5 linked regions of the Cricetulus griseus genome follow. The protein of the gene in region 3 interacts with the protein of the main gene of each other region in a pairwise test. Links are inferred from orthologs where the notes say so. Each region holds a gene or a part of one and is shown on either strand. Other genes may lie near its edges.

Region 1 (4,961 bases), on a different chromosome or scaffold from region 3:
GAAGAGAAAAGCCCAGTGCTCTGGAGTTAGGGTCAGAGCTGTGCCTTGCATCCAAAAAGAGCCAGGCTCAGCCACCTGTCCTCAATGCATCAACTAAAAAAGCTAACAGTAAAAAACAGAAAACAGACATTTATCCAATGTAGCCACAATGAGAAGGCGAAGGCAAAGATACCCAGTGGCTCTACCCCAAGTCACTCTTTGGGTCTTAACAGGAAAGTAAGAGTTTTTCAAAGTTTTACCTTATTTATTAATTTTTATGTATATGGGTGTTTTGCCTGAATGTTTGTCTTGCACCACATACATGCCTGGTACTCACAGAGGTCAAGAGATCCCCTGGGACTGGAGTTACAGATGATGGGTGAGCTGTCTTGCGGTGCTGACAATCAACTCAGGCTCTACAAGGGCAACCAGTACTCCTAACCATCAAGTCACTTCTCCAGTGGGAAGTAAGGTTTAAATGGTCTAAGTGAGCGGTCAGGTTAGAGTATGGTCCTGCCTAGCACCACCTGCTCAGCCTCCCCCTCCTACAAAGGTTATCTTGACAGATTCCTTCTCTGACCCTCCCCATGCCCTCGGCTTTTCCCTCTCCCAGCAGCATGACTTCCTGGGGGAATTCCAATTTCTCGGAGTCCACTGTCTCAATAATCTGATAGTCAAAGGGAAGGATACAATAGAAATCCTCGCTCCTGCCTAGCTGATTATACTACCCTTGAACTCAAAGACCTATGTTTTAAGTTCCAAGCTGTCTTGGTTGCATTCCTCTCGCTGTGATAAAATACTGGGAGAAAAACAAAGTAAAGGAGAAAGGCTTATTTGGGTTCACAGGTCAAGGATACACTCAGTCATGCTGGGGAAGTATCCTGGCTAGTTTTATGTTAACCCGACACAAGCTGGAGTTATTTGAAAGGAGGGAACCCCAATTGAAAAACTTCCTTCATAAGATCCAGCTTAATTAGAGATTGATGGGGGAGCGCCCAGCCCACAGTGAGTGGTGCTAGCCCTGGGCTGGTGGTCCTGGGTTCCTTAAGAAAGCAGGCTGAGCAACAAAAGAGGAACAAGCCAGTAAGCAGCCCCCTCCATGGCCTCTGTATCAGCTCCTTGACTCCAGGTTCCTGCCCTGTTTGAGTTCCTGTCCTGACTCCCTTCAGTGATCAACAGTGATGTGGAAGCAGAATAAACCCTTCCCTTCCCAAAAGTGTTTCATCACAGCGATGATAATCCTAACCAAGGCAGGAAGGTAAAGGGGGCTGAAAGAGGCTGGTCACGTGACATCCAAAACAGGAAACAGCAATGAATGCCAGTGTCCTGCTCATTTTCTCTTTTTTTGCACCAAGAACCCAAGCCTAGGCCATGGCGCTGCCCTTTTATAGGGCAAATCTTGCCACCAAGTGAACTAATCAAGATAGTCCCTCAGAAGTGCACCCAGAGGTTTGCCTCCTGGGTGATTTCAGATCCTGTCAAGTTGACAGTTAATGCTAGCTATGTGACTCTTCCTTTGAATCTCAAATATCTGGGTTTGCAATCAGGGAACCCCACTGTCAATCTCAGAAATTACTGTGCTGAAAAAAAAAATCGGAAAACCAAGATGGAAAGATGCTGTGTGAAGTGTTAAGTGCAGTTCAAATGAGAGTGTACTTTTAAAGCAACTACAATATAAAAAGAAACAGTTGGTAGAAGCAAGGAGCTGAGTGGTTAACAATAAGCTTCTAAGTTAGCTACTCTCCAGGCCGGAGCCACACCTCCCTAACATAGCTGCACTAATCCATCTCCACCTAAAACATCACCTTGCTTAAAGAGGCAATGCCCCTGTGACGGTTAATTTTAATTGTCAGCTAGACAATTAAAGAGTGTCTCAGTAAGGGGCTATCTGAGCTGGGTGGTGGTGGTGGTGGTGGTGGTGGTGGTGGTGGTGGTGGTGATGCACGCCTTTAATCCCAGCACTTGAGAGGCAGAGGCAGTCGGATCTCTGTGAGGATCTCTGTGACTTAGAGACCAGCCTGGTCTACAAAGAGAGTTCCAGGTCAGTCTCCAAAATTACAGAGAAACCCTGTCTCGAAAACAAACACACAAACAAAAAACAAAGTAAGGGGATATCTAGATTGAGTTGGCCTGTGGGTGTGGTCTTGAGTTGGGGGTGGTGGTGGTGGTGGTGGTGGTGGTGGTGGTGGTGGTGGTGCACGCCTTTAATCCCAGCGCTCTGGAGGCAGAAGCAGGCGGATCTCTGAGTTTGAGGCCCACCTGGTCTACAGATTGAGTTCCAGGACAGCCAGGATTACACAGTGAGACCCTGTCTCGAAAAACAAAACAATACAAAAACAAAACAACAAAAAAGTGGTCTTTACTGCTCTAATTGAACAGTGAACACAACTTGGCTGTTGTGCTGTGGGTGACACCATCCCCTAGGTTTGGGCTCTGGACTGTATAACAGTAAAGAAATCAGCTGAGCACTACACATGAATGCATTTGTTTTTCTTTGCTCTTGACTCAAATGTAACTTGACAGCTGCCTCAAGTTCCTGCCTGGGCTTCCCCGCGACGATGGATGGTAACCTAGGATTGAAAGCCTAATTAACCCTTTCTCCCCTAAGTTGCTTTTTGTCAGGAGTATTTTACTATGGCAAAAGAGACAATCGAAACTCTGCGTTTCCCCATCTTTCCACTTTCCTCCGCCTTACTCCAACCCACTTCTCACGCTATCACACCGTCCCATTACATGTCGATGTCTCGTCGTCCTAGAAAGGAGCGCCTACGGCGACAACGACCTCCGTTCCTCTCGCTATCTGGTGCACAGCAGTTTTTCGAGAAATAGTTTTAGAACAAATGGGTGGCATTCAAAGTAACTCCAGGGACTTCGGAGCTGGGCAGCCTCTCCGCAGCGGGTGCCCGGGGTCCCCTCGCGGCCGCGCGTCCTCTGGGGCCCTGTGGGTCCCGGGTTCCGCTCGGCGCGAGGGGCCGGAGAGGCCAAGCCGGCTTCCGCACTGACCTTGAGCTCCTGGGCGACCTGGGCCTTCTGCCGATAGATGGAGTACAGCACGGCGGTGATCATCGAGCTGGTTCCCAGCAGGATGAACTGGCCCAACGACGGCAGCGATCCGCCCTCCATGGCGACGCCGAGCCGAGCCGAGCCAGCAGCCTGGAAACCACGAGCGACCCCTGCGCAGCCGGGAAACTCTTATAGGAACGCGTAGACGCGGCGCCTGTTGATGACGAAAGCGACACCGGAAGTGGCGACCCAGCAGCGGGGACCGGAAGGCGACGTTGCCGAGGTGATTGCGATGTTGTTGCGGCCTCGTGGGAAAGCGGTCGGCTTTCCGGGGCACCTCACGGTTCCGCGCACTGGCCGTGGTCACGGGCTTCTAGACTTTCTGGCTGGGTTATTTCTAAATTGCTTTTCATTTATCCTGGAAGTGTTGTGAGATCGTACCACAGTGCGTGTGTGGAGAGCGGGATGCCCTGTGAGAGTCAGGTCTCTCCTTCAACCTTGTGGGTACTCGGGATCGAACTCAGGTCTTCAGCCATAGCGGCAAGCGCCTAAACCCACCGAGCCATTTCTCCAGCCCTTGCTGGGTTATCTGATGTCGCCGTCATCAGATGCATGTTAAGGACTAAGGAGTGTTACTCGTTTAAGCAATCGGGTGAATCTGCGTTATGCTCCGTTCCTTTGTGTGTGTGTGGCGGGGGGGGGGGGGCGGGGTTCGAGACAGGGTTTCTCTGTGTAGCTTTGGAACTCTGTAGACCAGACTGGTCTCGAACTCACAGAGATCCGCCTGCCCCTGCCTCCCCAGTGCCGGGATTAAAGGCGTGCGCCACCAACGCCCCGCATACTCCGTCCTCTTTAAAGATGAGGAAACTGCGGCCAGAGGGGATGGGGAACATGGTCAGAGCCGTATATATCGCTGAGGAGATCTGGAGAGCAATTAGACTAGCTGCAAAGCCCTCGCCTCTACTCCAGCTGAATCACTAAAGCAGCTCCTCATCTAACACCGCCACATAAAACAGCATACTGTTTATTTAGTAAGAACTGCAGCCGCGTTTATTGAATGACTACTATGTGCTATGTGCTGTGATTACGTTTCCTAGGTTTGCATTCCACCCGTGACCTTAGGGACCAAACCCGGGGCCACAGGTGCTCTTCCACCAAGGTCCATCCTAGCTCCTCCAGGCCAACACAACACTGTCATAGTGCAGGTTTCAGGAGAGGAAACTGAGGCTCAGGTTAAGAAATAGGCTCAGGCCGGGCGGTTGGTGCCGCACGCCTTTAATCCCAGCACTCGGGAGGCAGAGGCAGGCGGATCTCTGTGAGTTCGAGACCAGCCTGGTCTACAAGAGCTAGTTCCAGGGCAGCCTCCAAAACCACAGAGAAACCCTGTCTCGAAAAAAAAAAAAAAAAAAAAAAAAAAAAAAAAAAAAAAAAAAAAAAAAGAAAATAGGCTCAGATCTCTACCTAAAAGTGACAGGGGCTTCGAAACCAGTTGACCCATCAAGGATCTTTCCTACTCAGGCATCTGCTTCCTGAAACAATCAGAGACCCCCAAATCTTCACCAGTATATCTGCCTGCAAAGCCTGTGTTCTCTGAGCGTCCTACATGTTGTACTTTGAATTCTTCAGAATGGAAGGATATATCTATTGCCCCAAAACAATATTTAATCCTTGGAGTTTTTTGTTTGTTTGTTTGTTTGGTTGGTTGGTTGGTTTTTCGAGTTTCTCTGTGTAGCTTTAGAGCCTATCCTGGCACTCGCTCTGGAGACCAGGCTGGTCTCAAACTCACAGAGATCCACCTGCCTCTGCCTCCCAAGGGCTAGGATTAAAGGCATGTGCCACCAACGCCTGGCTCCTTGGAGTTTTTTTATAGCAAAAGAATGGAAATGACTCAATGTATATAGTTGGTGTAAGCATTATGGCTTGGATGGAAAGGTATTCTTGGGAATGGGAACCTAGGAATACCACAGGTCACAGTAAGC
Region 2 (5,231 bases), on a different chromosome or scaffold from region 3:
CTGTCTCTGGCCTCCCAAGTGCTGGGATTAAAAGTGTGTGCCACCAACGCCTGGCCTCTCCCACTGCTCTTCATACAAACCCTTATCTACTGGGCTCAAAACACCTTTTAAGATGGGCCCTGTTCCTGTGTCCTTACCCTTTTGATACTCATGGGTAGGAATCTGTTTCAGTTGTTCTTTGGTAAGTCGGTTCCGCTGGAGCCGTTTGCGGTGCTGGATACAACGAACTACCTAGGAGTAAGGGAGAGTGGACCAGGCTTAAGTTGAAAAAGAAAAAGAAAAGAAAACACTGGAAAATCCAATAACCACCTCACTAACCCTCTCCAGACACAGTCTGGCCTTGTAATTTCTTCCCACTGCTACTTACCAGTACAGCTCCCATGGCCAAAACCAGCAGTCCTACTATGCCAGTGAAAGGAATGAGATAATAGCCCAAGGGGAAACTATTGTCTGGAACCAGAAGCACCCGGGCCCTAAGAAAGAAAGACAAGTCTCAAGCCAGGAACCAGGCAAAACCAGGTAACTGGATTGGGACAAGGCGTTGGTGAAGAGAAAGGAAGAGCCTGAGTGTGAGTGGGTAGGGTAGTGAGGCTTGGGGAAGAGTGGGAGAAGAGGAAGAAGAAAGCATTATGTCCTACCCCTTCTCATAGACAAAAAGGGCTCGTAGGTACTCTGCACTTCTCTCTCCAATAAATACAGATGGGATCCAGATCTGCTGTTGGATTTCCTCTGTAGGGAGCAGGATAGTGGGGATTTAGCCTTCCACTCAGTTCCCTGGAACTGGCATCTGACACTTTGCCCATCCCACCCAAAGAACCCAAAGGCCTCTTTTGATCCTTTAGTCCTCCTACTGAAAGTCCATCGGTGCAGTTTCCCCAGCCTTACTCACCACTATTCCACACCATGTTCAGAAGCTCATTGGAATGCACATTGTGAACCACAGCTGCACCATACCCAGCTTTTTGAGCATTTAAGACCTAAGAAGACAAAGCACGGACAACAGTCATAAACTTTGCCTTTCTTTGCTTCCAGTGTCATTTACCATGTTTACCAGCTCCCATTCCACATTTAGCAACCTTGAGGTCAAAGTTGCAGTCGAATCTTCGAAGCAGTGCAATAAAGACTGACCCATTGACCGGAGCTGAGGGTGGTGGGGCAATGGGACTGCAGGCATTTTCTGGATGGGCCTCCACAAGGAACCCCTGAGGAATAAAAGCAAACAGTTGGATTTTCCATCTTTACATTCTGCCTCCCACAGGGCCTATCGAATATAGTGATACATACACCATCTGTATTCTGTAGCTCTACCCTCATTGAGGTCTAAGCATCCCACCTGAATCAGAATCTACATCTCAGGCCGGCATGGTGATACATGCATTTAATTCCAGCACCTGGAAAGTAGAGTTAGGCAGGCAGGTGTTTTGAGTTGGAGGACAGCCTGGTATACACAGTTCAGGACAGCCAGGGTTACACAGAGAAACCTATCTATAAAACCAAACAAAGCAGAATCTAATCTCTTGGCTTCCCGAAGATGCAATTACAGAACATATCACCTCTTTACCAGAGGCTCTCTCGACTTCTCAAATTCTTAGTTTAGTTCTGTTTTTCCAGTTTCCTGATAATTCAGCTTGCTACTCATCCATGTCATTTTCACCAAGTTTTTTTCAGATTCGTCTTTTTGTGTACATACAGCACTTTCAATAACCCTCACTTTAGAAACAACTATTGCTATCCGTGGTCCAACTGAGTTCTTCCTATGTGGCAAGAACTTTGTAATAAACTATTACAGACATGCTTAACTCAACTTACCAGTTAACACAGTAGTTCTAAGTTAATTTCCATTACCCATTTTACTAAGGGTCAACAAAATACCATCCACAGCCATTCATACAAACAGTAAACAGCTCTGGAGACATTACTGATAAGCACCTGCTTCCTATCTTAATTCACTCTCCAATGTCCCTCTTAAACTTGGGAGTTCTCGGACACTGCCTTCTGCCTCTAGATTCTGAACTCTACATTGGACACGGTCATATACTTAGGTTTTGGGCGGGGAGCTGGTATTGGTGATTCAGTCTCACTCGTGTTAGGAAAGCACCCTATCACTGAGTTCTATCCACAGCCCAACGCATCCCGCTGCTAACTCGACTACTTCCTACCTCCAGTTGGATCCAGAGCACGGCTACTCAACCCCTGCCCAGGATAGAGACTATAAGGAAACGGGGAGAGCATCACCTGGAGTCCCTCCTCGCTCAGGGCAGCCCCAAATAGAGCTGGGAGGTCTGCAAAGTCCATGCTGGCATTGTGCTCCGAGGTCTGCAGACAAAATTAGTCCGTTTTTCTCTTCGGCCTGGAAACCCTTCTCGGCACCCTCCGCCCCATCCGCCCCTTAGACTCACCGCTCGAATAAGGCCTCGGATAGGGGATGCTCCCCACAGCACAGTAGCCACAACAACAGGAAGCGGGAAGGCTGCAGGGTGCATGGCAGCGGGAGGGGTAAGGCTGAGGAGGTCGCGTCCTGATAGGAGCCGAGTTCTGCGACCTCTCTGCCTCCTTAAGGATCCCAGGGGTCCAACCACCCCCAGGTCCTACTTTCTCAGCTACATGGGGGCGTCGGGGCAAAACTCCGACTCGGGAAGTGCGGTATGAAACCAGCTTAGTGGAGCTGGGAGGGAGACAATGTATCTTTCTCTACTACAGAAATAAAACGGAGAATAGAAACGAAGGCAAAAAACAGGTAACAGAAAAACTTCAGGAAGGGTGGGGGAAATCTCAAAGAGGTGGGACTTCCGGCCAGGTAGGCCGTCTTCCGATCCCCTGGAAAAGGGTTTCCGGTAAAGAAAGGCCGCTTCCAGTATTGGACGCTCAGGACGGAGGACTTCCGGTCCTAAAAGGCCGGTTGAAAGAAATGTTAGACACGGAGAGAGTTCCTGCGCAGATGGAGGGAGCTCCGATGCCCAGGAGACGACCTAATTTTCTTTTCCCCTCAGCGCCCGAAATCTTGGTGCTGCCCTGTTTACAAACCTCTCTGCCTCCTGCTCGCTGCGGTACCTCCAAGTATCGCGAGAGTGCTTACCACCACCACCGCCACCCCATCGCTAAGCTGAAATTTATCGCGAGAGAGAGGATGCCGGCCCTAACTCGACTGTCTCACTCGTTCTCGCGAGATTTTCAAACACTAGTTTCCCGCGATTCCAATTCGGGAAGGGCGGGGGCTACAAAGAGGCTTCCTAGATCAGCCACGCCCCTTCGCTTACGCATACTAGCCCCGCCTCCTTCCCGGCCTCCTTTGCGCTAGGCGCCTGCGGTCCTCCCCCCCCCCCCGTCCGCCCCCCAGTTTCCAGCTCAAGCCAGACTTGCCTGTCGGAGGGGCGTGCGCGCGCGCGCCTTCGCCCTGTTGCGCGCTGGTGTCACCTTGGGCGCGAGCGGGGCTGTGCGTGCACGGGACCCAAAGCCGAGGGCCATCAAGGGGCGATGGCGGCGACGGCGAGTCCCGGGGATGGCCGGATGGACGGGAAGCCCCGTACCTCCCCTAAGTCGGTCAAGTTCCTGTTTGGGGGCCTGGCTGGGTAAGCTCAGGCCCCAGGGATGGGAAAAAGGAGGAAGGGACGGGCGCAAGTAACTGGGCCCAGTGCATCTCGGGGTATGTTGCAGTAAATGGAGCGGGTGCGGGGTCACCATAATGTCCAGAGTATTGCGACCTCCCTGGTGGGCTGACAGGATTATTCACCCATCGCAGGCCCCTACAGGGCTGGCTTCATTCAAGAGTCATTGCCCCGCGTGTTTCCACCACCATTGCTTCACCGTGCCTGATTGTGTGGTGGGTCTAGGTTATTAGAGGCGTTGTTAGAGGACCGCTTGGAGTCGTAGGTTATGGATGTCCTCTCCACCCCTCCTTAGTCAGACTGCCTGTAATCTAATTCTATTTGAGCTCTAAGGAACTGTTTGAAGTGTTTTGATTTGCATGGTCTTTACTGGACAACTGGACTTTTTTTTTTTTTTTTTGCCTGGCACATCGCCCCTTCGTTCACACACTTATGTACATGCCCACCAGCCTCCTGAATCCTTAGCTGCATGTCAGGCCCTGACCTTCGTAACTTCTGGCTGCCAGGTTGCAGTAGACACTAATAGAGCAGGAACAGCTGAGCTCTGTCTCCTTTTCCTGCCTTACTCCAGGATGGGTGCTACAGTTTTTGTGCAGCCTCTGGACTTGGTGAAGAACCGGATGCAGTTGAGTGGTGAAGGGGCCAAGACTCGAGAGTACAAAACCAGCTTCCATGCCCTCACCAGCATCCTGAAGGCAGAAGGACTGAAGGGCATTTACACTGGGTACTGGGGCCTCCGGTTGGGAAGCGAGGTTGTGGGTTGGCAGGTCCAGACCTTGGCCCGATAGGCTTTGCTGACCTTTCTGTTCCTCAGGCTGTCAGCTGGCCTACTGCGCCAGGCTACCTACACCACCACTCGTCTTGGCATCTATACCGTGTTGTTTGAGCGCCTGACTGGGGCTGACGGTACACCCCCTGGCTTTCTGCTGAAAGCCCTGATTGGTATGACTGCAGGTGCAACTGGTGCATTTGTGGGAACGCCAGCTGAGGTGGCTCTTATCAGGATGACTGCTGATGGCCGGTGAGTTCCAGGTCTGAGCTTGACTCCAGCCCCATTCCTGGAATCTAGAGTGAAAGATCTAGCTAGGTTTTACCTGTTTTTGTTAGCTGAGATCTACGGCAGGGCACTTACCTGCTTAGGCCTCCCTGTCTTTGTTCCTATGGACCCTGAGCCTGCCTGATCTTGGCTTTTTTCTGCCCTCTCCCCAGGCTTCCAGCTGACCAGCGCCGAGGCTACAAAAACGTGTTTAATGCCCTAATCCGAATTGCCAGGGAAGAGGGAGTCCCCACACTGTGGCGGGTGAGCAAAGGGGGCAAAGTCTTGGGACGTGGGGATCAAGTCTGTGGCATTTTTGACTCTCTTCGTTGTCTCCACTCTCTAGGGCTGTATCCCTACCATGGCTCGAGCTGTCGTCGTCAATGCTGCCCAGCTTGCCTCCTACTCCCAATCCAAGCAGTTCTTGCTAGACTCAGGTGAGAGACCCAGCGCCAAATACTCAATGCCCAGTCTGGCCTGAGCTGCCTGAGGGTTGACCGCCACCTTCTGCCTCACCTCCCAGGCTACTTCTATGACAATATTCTGTGCCACTTCTGTGCCAGCATGATCAGTGGCCTCGTCACCACTGC
Region 3 (4,526 bases):
GGAGACCGGGGAATCCCATGGGGTGGGGAGAGATTGTAGGAGTCAGAAGATACAGCAGACACCAGAAGAACATGGCCCTCTGAATCAAGTAAACAGAGTTCATATGGGTTCACAGAGACTGTATATAAGTTATAGCTGTTAGCTTGGTGGTTTGTGGGGCTCCTAATACTGGAAATAGATGTGTCTCTAACCCTTGCATGTTCCAGACTCTTTCCTTCTGTTGGGTTGCCTTGTTCAGCCTCAATATGAGGGCTTTTACCTTTTCTCACTGCATCTTGTTTTGTCTTGTTTGGCTGTCTTCTCTTGGGGGGCCTTCTCTTTTCTGAAGAGGAAACTGGAGAGGAAGTGGATATGGAGGAGAAGAGAGGAGGGGCTGGGAGGAGTAGAGTGTGGGGAAACTGTGATGGGGATATAGTATATGAGGGAGGGAGGACGGGAGGGAGAGAGAGGGAGGGAGGAAGGGAGGGAGGGAGGGAGGGAAGGTACCTGTATAGAGGGAGGTATACACCACTAGGTGGGACTTTGTTGAAATGTTAGAGAATACATTCCAGAAAATGTACTTTCTAAAAATCCAGTCTTTACAGAAACAGACATCCGATAGACAGATGACAGACACACACATAGATGAGATAAAGATACACACATATATACATACATCATTACATATATTTAAAGAGTTGATTTAAAAAGAAAAGCATTTCACACAGAGAAATCCCATAAAAATCAGAGACTTTCTTGGCTTTTTCTTTTATTTGTTTATCTAATTTTATTTTACTGTTTTAGGTGCCTGTTTGTGTCCCAAGGAGAAAGAGAAAGAAAAGGTCGATTTGGGTTGATGGGGAAGGAGGACAGATCTGGGAGGAGTTGGGGGAGGGGAAACCATAACTGGAATGCATTACATCAAAAAAAAAATTTATGCAATTGAAAAAAAAGGTGCAGAGCACTTTACTAGTTGGAGGCCATGGTCCTGAAAACCTCCCTGGCACACTGGATTCCTCTTTAATAAACTCAGCTACAAAGGCTAAGCTCCAGGTTTTTTACTTGAGTACTTTATAATGAGAAGTCAGAGGAAAAAGCCCTTCAAGTAAGTACCATGTTTTCTGTTTGTTATCAAGCTGAACACTCAGGTTAAATGAATTAAGAAGAAGGGAAAAGTGAGCCTGTCACTCTATTTTACACTACACTCACAGAAGGCAAAAAATGAGAGTGTTAAGTATTAGTTTTTCCTTTTGTCAGTTTTCTAGTTTTTGCTTATCTATAAAGACAAAATCCTTATTATTAACCTATTTCTGAAAGCTATCAATAAGGTTTATTTCATAGAGGGAGTTTTACATAAGTTTCTATTTATGTTTTAATCAATGTGTAGTTTTATTTACTATTAACTATTTTGAATATAAAATTATTTTTAAAAAGCCAGAAGTCTGTAACATTTTGGTTTCAAAATAACTGAGTTTCCATATTAATTCATGAACAACAATGAAAGCAAATTATTACATTAATATACATGTAAATTCTAGAATACCTGGGTTTGGGAGAAGGGTAATTAATCAATGTATATCTAGGTTCTTACCTTTGGTGGTTTAAATGGATAATCTGAAGAAAATGTGATATCCAGAAAAAAAACACCACCTTCATATACAGAACCTGGTGGACCAAGTATAGTTGACCTCCATTCATAAATGTTATCTCCTTTAGGGCCAGCACTATTTAAAAGAAATAAAAAAAAGTCAATATACATCCTATATAAATACCTGTATACATGTCTATAAAAATTTAGGTTAACACCTAAAGATGAATACAAAATTAGAATTAAATTAAATAAGCAATCTAAAGCAATGAGATAAGTGTGCTCAAGTACACATGCATAAATTTTGAAATATTCCAAATAAACAGAAATTACAATGAAAACACAACTACTATATAACTTTACCCAACACCTCATAACTTTTGCTATTTGCCTCCTTTTCTCCCTCCTTCTCCTGCTACCCCTACACACACACACACACACACACACATTTATCCTTTCCATGTAAACACTTAACGTGTGCTCTTCCAAAAAATAATTTACAAATCAACAGTTACAATTTCAGTAACTATGTCATCCACAGTAATCTAGAATCTGTACGATAAAACTGTAAACTAACTCTAATACACTTAATATTCTCCCCCAGGTACAAGGTATTGGGATCAAGAAAATCTTATGTCTTATACTTTTAATCTATTCTGTGATGGGATTTTATTATGTAACCCCCAGGCTGGCCTAGAACTTCCAATACTCTTGCCTGCCTATTTGCAGTGCTATTAATTGCAGGCATAATCCCCCATGTGCACCTCACCACACCAATTTAAGCTCTATGCCTTAACTTTCCTTTAACATGGGTCCTATCATTACTTAATTTTTCTTTTATTTGACAAATAAATATGCAAGACCATTTGAGTTTGTCTGTGGTTCTCTCATAATGAGACTCAAACAATACACTCCTAACCAGAGAAGTAAATAAGTGGTATGTTATTTGGGGGGGTCATGACAGTTTGAAGTACATGATATGGTGTCCTTTTCCTCACTGGTGATGTTAAACTTCAGCCATAGAAGACGCCTTCCAAATTTCCTACTGCTTAGTTACTATCTTTCCCTGCAACCGATATGTATTCTTTGGTCAGATTACAACCATGCAAATAGCCTACTCTTCATTCAAATTTCTCCTCTAGATTTAATATTTATTTGGAGTCCTCTGAAATTTACTATGATATTGGCATAATGATGATTTTTCAACTCCAGTTCTTTCTCCACATTTAACAGCTGTCTTGAGCCCCGTCTTGCCCTATGTGTTTATATGTTATGTTACTGATATGGTCTCCTAAATTACTAAATCTTTTCAATGCTTTACAATTTACTACTGCTTGAATCATCCCATATTAGCCCGGTGGGAGGGCCTACAAAACAGCTTCTAACATGCTGGCAACATTTTAGAGTCCATTCTTCCTTTCTGGCATGAAAAGATGCTCTACTCTTCCAGTCCTCGAATTAGCTTCAGGAACCTTGGGTCCTTGTAGGAGAAATGTTAGGAAATCAAGACTTGAATTCTGCTGAACACATTAACATAATGCATTGTGCTCAACATCAGTATCATTTATGGAATAAAAACTAACAGTTCAATATAATCTAAACTAAATTTGTTGTTAGTAATGCAACTCTATGATGCCTATAAACATCCTTCAAACACACCTTACAAATTCCCATTTTCCTCTATTTTTTCACCCATATCTTTAATCATGTGTATATGCGGGTGGTGTGAACAGGAAGGACATGTGTACATGAGTAAAGGTACCCACAGAGTCTAGGAGACAGTTTCAGATCCTCTGGAGTCTAGGGCCACCTGATATGGTGCTGGGAATCAGATCCTCTGTAAAGGCATCATATTTTCTTAATGGCAGAGGCATGTCTCCCACCCATGTTCCTCTAGGTTTTTACACCACAAATTATCTTGGCTTTATACATGTAAATATGCATATGCTTTTGTTCTTTTAAACTACCCATCAATTTAGAAGTGATCTGGAGGTCCTATTTAAATAGTAAGTGTGAAACAGTACTGCAACCATATTAAAAGGGGGATCATTTTAACTACATGTTATTAACTCTGCAAGACTGACACCGAAAAACTAGAAAACTTCAGAAGACAAAAATCTCAACAAAAGCTATTCTATAGTCTCAAATGTTTCTATTCATGTCTTTAATTTCACTGTGGCTACTTCTGCTTTCCTGGCAGGCTTTGCAAATATTACTTGTATAAGTACCCAAATACACATGACCCAACTTCCAAATAACCAAATTGCCCAGAACACTTAAATTATAGATGACTGAACAGAAGTCAAGCTGAAGTCAATGCATTTTAATGGACTGTAGAATTACAGACTGAAAAGATGATGCTTTGGATAAATCTACCAACCCTTGAGGAAATCAAGATGGAGGGGGGAAAGAATCCATCTTAAATTCCATTATGGGGTAGAAGAGCTGAGATTCCCACTGGGAAACTAAACTCTTGATCCTATGTTTGCTTTTTTTTTTCCCTCTCTCTCATACGACATGAAAAGGGGTTCATTTAACCCTATGATAGCAGGACATTAAGTGTGACAGAAGCACCTGGCCCAAGGAGTCTATTTTTGTTTTCATTAAGGCATCATTTGGACTAGAGAGAGGCTGGGACAAATCCACCAAGAGGAATGGGAAAAGGTAGCTTCAGGACTGAGTCCATTAACTCAAAGCATTTTATAGGCTAGCAGAAGACCTGCCACTGAGGCCTCACAGCTGAGTGGAGGGGGGGGGGATGATAATGACCAAACATTTCCTGTATCTTTCCTGACTAATCTCCATTCTTTCTGTTTCTGTCCCTTCCACAGGGCAGAAGTCTACAAACTTCCACTTTGCTGTACACTGTCTTAGTTCCATCCCAGAGAACATCATCCACAAGAATCCAACCATGCCATTTTCCCCAAACGTGATTTAAAAAGAAAAACAAAAACAAAAA
Region 4 (4,526 bases), on a different chromosome or scaffold from region 3:
GTGACTCCTTTCCAAGATGCTTCATTTAAAACTGTTATATAGGACCTTAAAACCCCAAATTTCTGAAACCTTCAAGGGTAGCAGTACAAAACCAGAAGTCCTGTGGCATTAAAGTTGTATTACCTTATTCATCATAATTTATTATTCCCAACTAACAGATAAAATCTCTCCTAAACAATTTTCCACAGAAAGTATGTCTGTGACATATAATATGCTTATAAAACATTGATAATTTAAGTTGTCAAATATTTTTGTATACACATATGGCAGTTTTGATGTGTGCATGTATGTATCAGTCAAAACAAGCAATTTCGATAGCAGTTATAGTGGCTTTATCCCTCATGCTCTCATTAATTTTGATTTTAAAAAAATTTAACCACTTTAGACTATAACACAAGATATTTTTACTATGGTGTTGGCCTTTAAAACACTATAATTTCAGAGCCCAATTTTTGTTTTTCTTTTTTTTGTGTTTACATATCATCTAAAGGTCTAGTAACTATCCTATTAAATACAATGCTTCCAAACAATAAGTAGATATAATACTCCACCATCCTTATAAAGCTCCATATTACAAGGCATTCACTCAATCAAAAAACAAACAAACAAACAAAAAGGTTAAAGATGTAAGGTTTTTCGTAGAAATTTCTAAGACTATTATATACTCTTGTTACCCAGCAGCTCTTCCCTAACCACCCAGCAACCTGAAGTCATGAATACATACATATTCTCGGAGGCTTTAAATGAACCTACCTGCTATGGGGATCCCTCCCAGACCTGTGTTGTGCTGTGGCGGGAGATTCAAGTCCAAGAAATTACTATTTGAGGTGGGGTTTGCTGTGTGGTTCAAGTGCATGATGCTATTGCGTGGAAAGGCCATCCAAGGATAGCGGGCTGCCTGGCCTGGAAAACCGAACGAATTATAAACTGCTCGGTGCTGCTGAAATTGAGGGAACCTCTGTGGCAAGACTGAAAAGGTACTATTAAGAGAGTTGGCATTTGTAGGTGCAGCAGAATGCAGGAATCCAGAGCCTGGACCTTTGGCTGTTGTAGTGTGTGAGGAGGAGTTCTGAAGAGACGTGGGAGAAAGGGAAGGTTGATCTTGGACGGACAGTTCCTTCTCAATCAGGTCTGCTAAGGCTTTTCGAGTGACATCAAAGGGATCAAAACCCAAGTCATCCTCTGGCTGTTTAGAAGAGCCAAAACCAAACGCTGCTTGCCAGTCTGTAGATGATGATACTGGGATTGTTTCTGTTGGGAAGAAATATAGTGATGAACATAGTCTATCTTCACAGTGTATATTAAACATCCTACATTACAGTCTATACCAGTGTTAAGTTACACATGCCACATTATAATAGAAAGCAAACATGCAAGATTCCAAAGGAACTCATAATTTCTAGCAGTGATTTCACTGCTAAATTAAGTTCAAAAACTGAATGATAGGGCCTGGAGAGATGGCTCAGTGGTTAAGAGTACTGGCTGTTCTGGAGGTTAAGAGTCCAATTCCCAGCAACCACATGGTTGCTTCACAACCATCTATAGAGGAATCTGATGCCCTCTTCTGGCATAAAGTCATACATGCATTCATACACATAAAATAAATAAATCTTAAAAAAAAAAATAAACCTTAATGATATAGACTGGTTGTGCTGATCAGAAGGAAAACCTCCCCTGTTATCCAGGTTACACAAACATTCATAATTAAAAACTAGCATGCTATTAAAAGTGCTACAGTCTAAAAGACTTTAACTAGTAAGGCTAACTCTTCTATTGTATGCTAAGATTATGTTTTTAATCTACATCACAGGCGTCATTGTGGCTATTAATTTATGCCATCTTTCAGATGGATAAAAATATTTAAATGAGTAAAAAGATAAGTGGTGTGCTCTCTGCTTTCTAATTAAAAACTCTCTGCTTGTCCATTCACACCTGACACCTCTGAAACCATCAAGACAAAGATGTAAAGCCATGCTTCTTCAGGGAAGAGAACATAAACCATTCTTCAGGCTAGTTTCATCTGAATGTGATGGAACCAAAGTTCCAGCAGGTGGCTGGCATTGTGCTGTGGATATCAGTTAAAACATAATTTCCAGAGTCTGTCATGTCCTTTGGGATAGGGCCTAGGCTCACCCCTGTGTGTCTAGGCTGATGGAGTATGCCTCTATGTGAAATGGGCTCCCAAAGTCCATTCCTATGCTATCCTTGATCTACTACAAGGGGCCCCATAAATTTCCAAGGTCTCCTCACTGACACCCACATTCATGGGGTCTGGATCAGTTCCATGGAAGGCCTCACTATCCCTGGGGAGCAGAAATGGTATGGGATAGGTAGGGTGTTAGTGGGGGGCAGAGGAGGAGGGGAGGGAGAGGGAACTGGGATTGACACATAAAACAATCTTGTTTCTAACTTAAATAAAAAAAACAAAATGGAGGGAAAAAAAACCATAATTTCCAAAATGGTAAAAGCAAAACTCTTATACAAATATAAACCATGCCAAAAATTTTAAAAATAGGATGGCAGAGAGGGGACAAAATTTAGTTTTTACAACTACGTAAATTACTTATGCCAATTAGACAATTAGGGGAAGATCTTAAATTTGATTACATCAACACAAATCTGACTTAAAAAGTTGAGTCCTAAGTTACTCCCAGAGCAGTAACTTTTTTGGTTTTTTCCCCCCCTTTGGGTTTTAAGACAGGGTTTTTCTATGTAGCCCTGACTGGCCTAACACTCAAGAGATCCAGCCTGCCTCTGCTAGGATTAAAGGTGTGTGCCACTATACCCAGCCAGAGTAGTGAGTTTTTGAGAAAATATAATAAATGATTTCTAGATAAATCTGCTCTCCAACACTATAATTTCTAGGCAACACAACTTTCATAATATCGAATACCATGTAGTTTAAAAGTTATAGTTTTTAAAAAGTGGACCCGACAGAAAACAAGATAGAAGTATATCAACCAAAATGTATTCCATTAGTCTGTCAATTTATGAGTCTGATTACTAATACTAGGTAATTACATACCTGACGTGAAGAGGCTCTGTGGTTCTGGAGCTGTAGGCCAATCACTGGGTGTCTGTGGAGAGCTGGGAAAAGGAGGAAGCCCACTTGGTATAGGGTTGGGGTGTCGAAAATTGTCTGAGAATAATGACTGTGACTCTGTTACTGCCCCTTCAAAAGGAGACCTTGCACTGTGATTGGATGAACTGATGGGGATGACAGGATTGGACTTTGATAAACCAGGTGGTGGTGAAGGCGTATCACTGTTAGATATCTAAAAGAAAGAGGAAGAAGTCAAGATAAATTTGTATCCTAATAAACCACAATTGAAAACATTTGCAAAAAAGGTTTCTAACAGTGGTCTTCAAACCAGAACACCTGACTTTTTAATCAAAGTGTGGAATTTGAAAAAAACAAGCAATTCATTAATTTATACATGTACTTAAAAAAAATAGTGTTCTCATCTTTTACAACTCCCCAAACTCCCTTGCTGTCTAGGAATTCATTATGTAGCAACTGCTCAACTTTTAGGGGCAAAGATAAATGATCAGAAATGCTCAAACTGATAGCAAGTCAATAACTGGCTCCAATTACAGCATCCTTTTGCATATTAGAAGATTCCAAGTATTTTAGTTTTTAACCAAAATAAAGGAAGATCTAAGTTTTTCTCAATCATTCATTAATAATTCTGGAGGCTGGGAGTATAGCACGAAAAAGACCCTGTGATCAAACCCCCAGCATCAAAAGCAAAAACACAACAACAAATAACAACTAATCAAACAAAAAGGAAAAAAGAAAACCCCATGCCTATTGGGAGGCTAAATCATTCTGTGATTCTGAGGCTTTTAATTCCATGGTCTGAGGGACAGTAACATTCCTCTCCTCCTCTATCTGTGCACTATTTATACAAAATGTCTTGGGAAAATAAAAAGAATGAGTAAGATTAATGCAAGTTTATTTAATATTACCAATGTTCATACACAAATATTCTGAGATGACCCCAATATATGCTGTTTGATCAACTCAATACTATTAATAGAAAGTCAACATGGGGGAAAAGGCTTTGAAATCCTTCTCATAGAGCTGGGAATATAAGTGTACCATTGCTGAGTATGGGTAAGGCCATAGATTCATTTGCCAGCACCAACACCAAAATACACAAACAAACAAACAAACAAACAAACAAACAAAAATTCCCTTGTCGGGGCTGGAGAGATGGCTCAGAGGTTAAGAGCACCGACTGCTCTTCCAGAGGTCCTGAGTTCAATTCCCAACAACCACATGGTGGCTCATAACCATCCACTATGAGATCTGGTGCCCTCTTCTGGTGTGCAGATATACATGGAAGCAGAATGTTGTATACATAATAAAAATCTTTAAAAAAAAAAAAAAAAATCCCTCGCCATAGAAAAACATTTCAGTTCAGATTTATAAGCGTATTTAGGGGTTTTCTGTGTGTGTGTGTGTGTGTGTGTGTGTGTGTACGCGCTGTGTGTATTTTTATAAGTAAGTGTACACGTGTATA
Region 5 (4,526 bases), on a different chromosome or scaffold from region 3:
ACCAGGCTGGCTTCGAACTCGCAGAGATCTGCCTGCCTCTGCCTCTGCCTCCTGAGTGCTGATTAAAGGTGCGTGGCACCAATGCCCGCCAATAATTTATACTGTTTAAAAATAAGAGCTAAGAGAACTTGTTTGAGAACCTGGGTGCAAGCACAACAGCACATCACCAATAGCACCAGCCTTCTCACCTGAGGGGGCAGTGGGGTTACTGGGATTCTCGCTAGCAGATGCACACAGGTCCTCTTCTCCATCCGTTGAGGAACTGGAAGAGGAGTCGCTGCTGAGGTCATTCTCACTGGAGCTACTGGAGCTGGGAAGGAGCGCATACTTCCTCTGGGCCAACACCTCCCGCTTCTTCCTCTGTACCAGCAGCCTCTCCTTCTGCTTCTGTGTCCTCTGGGAGGAGCTGTTCTTCACTAATCTCTTTCTGCATGCAAGTCTCCTCAGTGCACTACCATGAAAACAAGGTCTTTTCATCAACAAGCCTGACACAGACTCTGCCTCAGTCCGAGGCCACTTTTGGGACCGTGAACTGTGACTTCTGCTTTTAGCACTCAGAACAGGCTGGGAATGTCTCACTGAGACTTCTTTGTCCTCATCTGAAGTCACAGTATCAGAGTCCCCAAAATGGAGACTAGATGAGGGAGAAGACAGACACTCACTGAAGGAAGAGTCATTCTCTTCATCACTTGGTGTCTCTAGATGTTGCCTCAGCCCTAGGATTCCCTGATTTTCTTTGACACAATTCTGTACATATGAGGGGCCAGCCTGTTGGCTTTTGCGCTTTTTCCTCACAACCCCACTTTTTTCTTGTTCTTGCTGGTTGCCATTCATGTCCTTCTCTTGTTTTGAATCATCACACAGGTGAGAGAATTCATTCCCCACTTTGCTGTTAATCATCTCCACTTCTGCAGGGAAGCTCTTGGTGGCCCCGAGGGGCTGTGGGTGCAGAAGGACCCCCTTCAGACTCTCCTGTGTTGTGGGCGCATCAGGAGGAGTCCCACTCTTCATAGCCACTTTTAGGGTGTAGAGCTCGTTATATTCAGGAGTCCATTGAGACATGGGAAACTTTAAGGAAGGCCTAGGAGACACAAGGCAGACATTGAAAAGACTCAGTACATCTGTGCTACACAAGTGACTAAAGCCTGCAGCAGCCGTAACATGACTAAGCTAAGCCAGCCTCTTGACTTTCTCATCGAACACTCTAGTACCTCTGCTTCTACCCTACTTTCAGAAACACAGTCAACTAGCACATAGTACTGGAACTTACAGTAACCAAAAGGACCTGGCAATATTCCTGCTAGCTTCCACAATATAGCGTATTTGGTCAAAGCCAAACACTTCCTTTAAGTTTACTTCATTAAACTAAAGAAGAGAATTAGAATTCAAAAGACTGCCTTCTGCAGTCAAAGGAAACCAGTCTGCTGAAATCATACAGCACCCCATGTGCACTGCAGTATTAACCACAACAGCCAAAGGATGGATGAAAAAAATGTAGTAGATACATGATAGAATGCCATTCACCCATTAAAAAAAAAAATGAAATCCTTTCATCTGTAATAACCTGGACAGAATTATAAACCATTACCCTGAGTGAAATAAGGCAGGCTGAAAAGCAAGTTCCACAAGACCTTACTCACATGTGGGATTGACAAAACTAATTCACAAAAGCTGAGAGCAGAATGAAGGTTACCAGAGGCTGGAGAATGGAGTGGAGAGGTGAGATAAGGGATGGCTGGTCAACAAGTACTAGTTAGTTATATACAAAGAACAAGTTTTGGTAACAGTGTGTAATAATGTAATTCCAGGTGATACTATATTGCACATTTCAAACACCTGGAGAAGATTTTGAAAGCTATAACCTAGAGAAAGATGTCTGTGAATGCACATTTATTAACCTGACTGCAACATTACACTATGTACAAACTTATCAAAACACAAAGTACTGAAAAATATGTACAATGTTTAAGCTCTTGTGTATCATTTAAAACAAACTTTAGGAAGGCTACAGTCCTCAGGATTTATAGGCAGCCAATGGATGCTGGGGGAGGTGGAGGCATTTATAATCCCTTACTCATATTCCTATTAGAAACACTATTGGAAGTTCACCATCACCACCAACAAAGATGTAAAAACAGAAGAGAGATGACTTGCAAAGAGGAAAGAGGTCAATGGGAGTGGTGTGGAATAAGAAAGACATGAGAGGGGAATTAGAGGTGAATACAATCAATACATGTACATGAATAAAAATGTACCCATAAGGCTAGTAAAAACCTAAAATTTTAATGTAATTTAAATTATAAGAAAAAACACAATAAAGTCATCAAACCACAACACTTTGGAGGCTGAAGCGGGGAGTACTACAATGACGAATGCAAAGCCAGTCACAACAAGACTCTATCTCAAGAGATTCCTCCAGCCCTGCACCCCTCCCCCGACTAAAAAAAAGAATTCCAAAGACATGTGTTGTTGAATACTGCCTTCAGGGCATAACATGGTCATTGCCCTCTTCAACTGTCAGCAGATCTGAGTGCCAGCAGACTGTACAAGATTGGGCCATGAACTTTCCCTCAAAGGAAAGGGTTCATGAGGCCCACCTCTTCCCAAGAGTTTTCAGATAACCACTGTTAAAGCAGAGGTTGTGAGTCACCCCACCAGTGATCTGCGAGCTATTAGCAGTTGCTAAGAGGAGGGGGCTTATAAGGCCACATCTTTCCCCAAGAACTGACAGGAAAGCTGGTGCAGGAAGACAGATTGCTATTGCAGTGTAGTCACTGCAACAGCTCCCCTAAGAAACCCCAGTTAAACATTGGTTCAACCAAGCCACAGCTTAACTGGATGTTTCTATTGTTGATGCTATTTGGGGTGAGTAGACATTTGTTCATTTATCTTCAGAAAAGTTCATGTCTTCCCTTTGATATTAACATGCTAAAATTGTTTAATAAATACTTCCTGTACATTTAGATGGTTTTTACATTAAATAATTAGCTAGTAGAAATACAGCTTCTTTCTCCTATGACTCCATTTATCTAATGAGACCCTAATTCCAACAGAAGTTTGACACAACTAGTAAATTTAGTGTCAGTACAGCAAGCCTAGAGCAAGGACCAAGATTCTGAAGATAACTGTTAAATCAGCAGCACAGCAGAAAATAAAACTTCCCACAACTGGTCTAAGTGTGCTTAGATCATCTCACCTCTGAAACTGAGCTGTTGAACAAAGGAACTTAATTTACTGCATCAACACCAACACAATTTTTAAATTTTTTATTATTCCTTGATGCATGTGTGTGGCACTTGTGCCACGGTGTAAATATGAAGTCCACAAGACAACTTTGTGGAGCTGGTTCTCTTCAGAGATCAAACTTGGGTGCCCCGGCCTGGATGTCAAGCACCTGAGCTTTCTTTCTGGCTCACAGTGTAATTTTGTACATAAAAGAAGGATGACCATGTAAAATTGTGAACATCACTCAAGATGGAACACTCGCTAGAAAAGTAGTTAGTCTGACAAGTGAAGCACTGTGTTAGAGCAGTATGAGAATCTAAGCAGGCGTAAACACGGTTTGTATGCTTTAGAAACAGTCTGGTTTGTATGCTTTAGAAACCAGTACCTTGCTCAGACTGTCTCCAACTGCCAGGATCAAGGGCATCTCCTCCCTCAGCTTCCAAGTTCATCACTTCCATCCATCAACAATTGTGACCACTTCCTAACTTCCAAAATGATAGAACTGTTTCTACACTAACAGACATTTTCAAACCATTTGTTTGTTTGAGACAGGGCTTCTCTGTGTAATTCTGTCTGTCCTGGATCTCCCTCTGTAAACCAGACTAGCCTACAACTCAGAGATCACCCTGTCTCTGCCTCCAACTGCTGGGATTGAAGGTGTGTGCCACCACCAAATAAAACAGGTATTTTATGTCAAGGGTTTCCATAAATAACAGATACGTAAATGCATAATTGCATAGGTTTTGTGCTCTATTTCACAGCTCTATTATCAGAACAGACCTCATGAAAGTAAGATTACAATGACCTTTCCCTAGAGAATGCCATTCAATCCTTTTCTTTCTTTTTTCTGTGTAACAGCCTTGGCTGTCCTGGAACTCACCCTGTAGTGCAGGCTGGCCTCTAGATTCTTTCTTTTCTTATAAGATTCTTACAAGGGCAGGCAATGATGTTTGCAAGCTCAGTCATTAAATCCTACCTAGAGTATAGCACAATGAGTGAAGGGAGGGGGGAGCACAGCAAGCAACAAATTTACAGTTGCTAGTCAGATCAAGACCATTGCAACAAAGTGCAAGAAAGAACACCTCAAAATAATGAGGCTTAAGCAAGTGTTAGCAAGAGGGAAGGAGTAGATGACATTGGTTACAGTAACAGGTACAAACTCATGTTAGAAAAGATGTAAGGATACTGAAACCAGCCATGCCTTGAGTCCCAGCACTTGAAGACAAAGGCAGGCAAATCTCTGTGGGTTTGAGACTGTCTCTGTGGGCACTAGACACATATTCGACACACATACACACATG

Evidence for each region.
Region 1: the proteins of Ube2e3 (region 3) and Mul1 interact in a two-hybrid assay, tested with the Homo sapiens proteins (2 studies listed by BioGRID and IntAct). The link is inferred for Cricetulus griseus from reciprocal best matches to the Homo sapiens genes UBE2E3 and MUL1.
Region 2: the proteins of Ube2e3 (region 3) and Rnf167 interact in a two-hybrid assay, tested with the Homo sapiens proteins (2 studies listed by BioGRID and IntAct). The link is inferred for Cricetulus griseus from reciprocal best matches to the Homo sapiens genes UBE2E3 and RNF167.
Region 4: the proteins of Ube2e3 (region 3) and Cnot4 interact in a two-hybrid assay, tested with the Homo sapiens proteins (3 studies listed by BioGRID and IntAct). The link is inferred for Cricetulus griseus from reciprocal best matches to the Homo sapiens genes UBE2E3 and CNOT4.
Region 5: the proteins of Ube2e3 (region 3) and Rnf111 interact in a two-hybrid assay, tested with the Homo sapiens proteins (2 studies listed by BioGRID and IntAct). The link is inferred for Cricetulus griseus from reciprocal best matches to the Homo sapiens genes UBE2E3 and RNF111.

Annotation. Positions count from the first base shown.
Region 1 is NC_048595.1:14,920,369-14,925,329, forward strand, and holds the start of Mul1 (mitochondrial ubiquitin ligase activator of NFKB 1), read right to left. Parts: upstream 3,191-4,961; 5' UTR 3,103-3,190; coding exon 2,983-3,102; intron 1-2,982. UniProt on the Homo sapiens protein: Exhibits weak E3 ubiquitin-protein ligase activity. E3 ubiquitin ligases accept ubiquitin from an E2 ubiquitin-conjugating enzyme in the form of a thioester and then directly transfer the ubiquitin to targeted substrates.
Region 2 is NC_048600.1:84,457,363-84,462,593, reverse strand, and holds the start of Rnf167 (E3 ubiquitin-protein ligase RNF167), read right to left. Parts: upstream 3,152-5,231; 5' UTR 3,025-3,151; intron 2,888-3,024; 5' UTR 2,484-2,887; coding exon 2,400-2,483; intron 2,317-2,399; coding exon 2,160-2,316; intron 1,392-2,159; exon of another isoform or gene 1,315-1,391; coding exon of another isoform or gene 1,285-1,314; intron 1,203-1,284; coding exon 1,129-1,202; coding exon of another isoform or gene 1,077-1,128; intron 978-1,076; coding exon 890-977; intron 730-889; coding exon 639-729; intron 474-638; coding exon 368-473; intron 232-367; coding exon 138-231; intron 1-137. Other genes in the region: Slc25a11 (mitochondrial 2-oxoglutarate/malate carrier protein), read left to right, coding at 3,475-3,569, 4,177-4,329, 4,420-4,626, 4,815-4,905, 4,988-5,078, 5,165-5,231.
Region 3 is NC_048599.1:96,235,382-96,239,907, forward strand, and holds part of Ube2e3 (ubiquitin-conjugating enzyme E2 E3), read right to left. Parts: intron 1,704-4,526; coding exon 1,571-1,703; intron 1-1,570. UniProt on the Homo sapiens protein: Accepts ubiquitin from the E1 complex and catalyzes its covalent attachment to other proteins. In vitro catalyzes 'Lys-11'- and 'Lys-48'-, as well as 'Lys-63'-linked polyubiquitination.
Region 4 is NW_023276806.1:192,883,869-192,888,394, reverse strand, and holds part of Cnot4 (CCR4-NOT transcription complex subunit 4), read right to left. Parts: intron 3,276-4,526; coding exon 3,026-3,275; intron 1,252-3,025; coding exon 754-1,251; intron 1-753. UniProt on the Homo sapiens protein: Has E3 ubiquitin ligase activity, promoting ubiquitination and degradation of target proteins. Involved in activation of the JAK/STAT pathway. Catalyzes ubiquitination of methylated RBM15.
Region 5 is NC_048597.1:182,022,181-182,026,706, forward strand, and holds part of Rnf111 (E3 ubiquitin-protein ligase Arkadia), read right to left. Parts: intron 1,082-4,526; 5' UTR 1,063-1,081; coding exon 189-1,062; intron 1-188. UniProt on the Homo sapiens protein: E3 ubiquitin-protein ligase. Required for mesoderm patterning during embryonic development. Acts as an enhancer of the transcriptional responses of the SMAD2/SMAD3 effectors, which are activated downstream of BMP.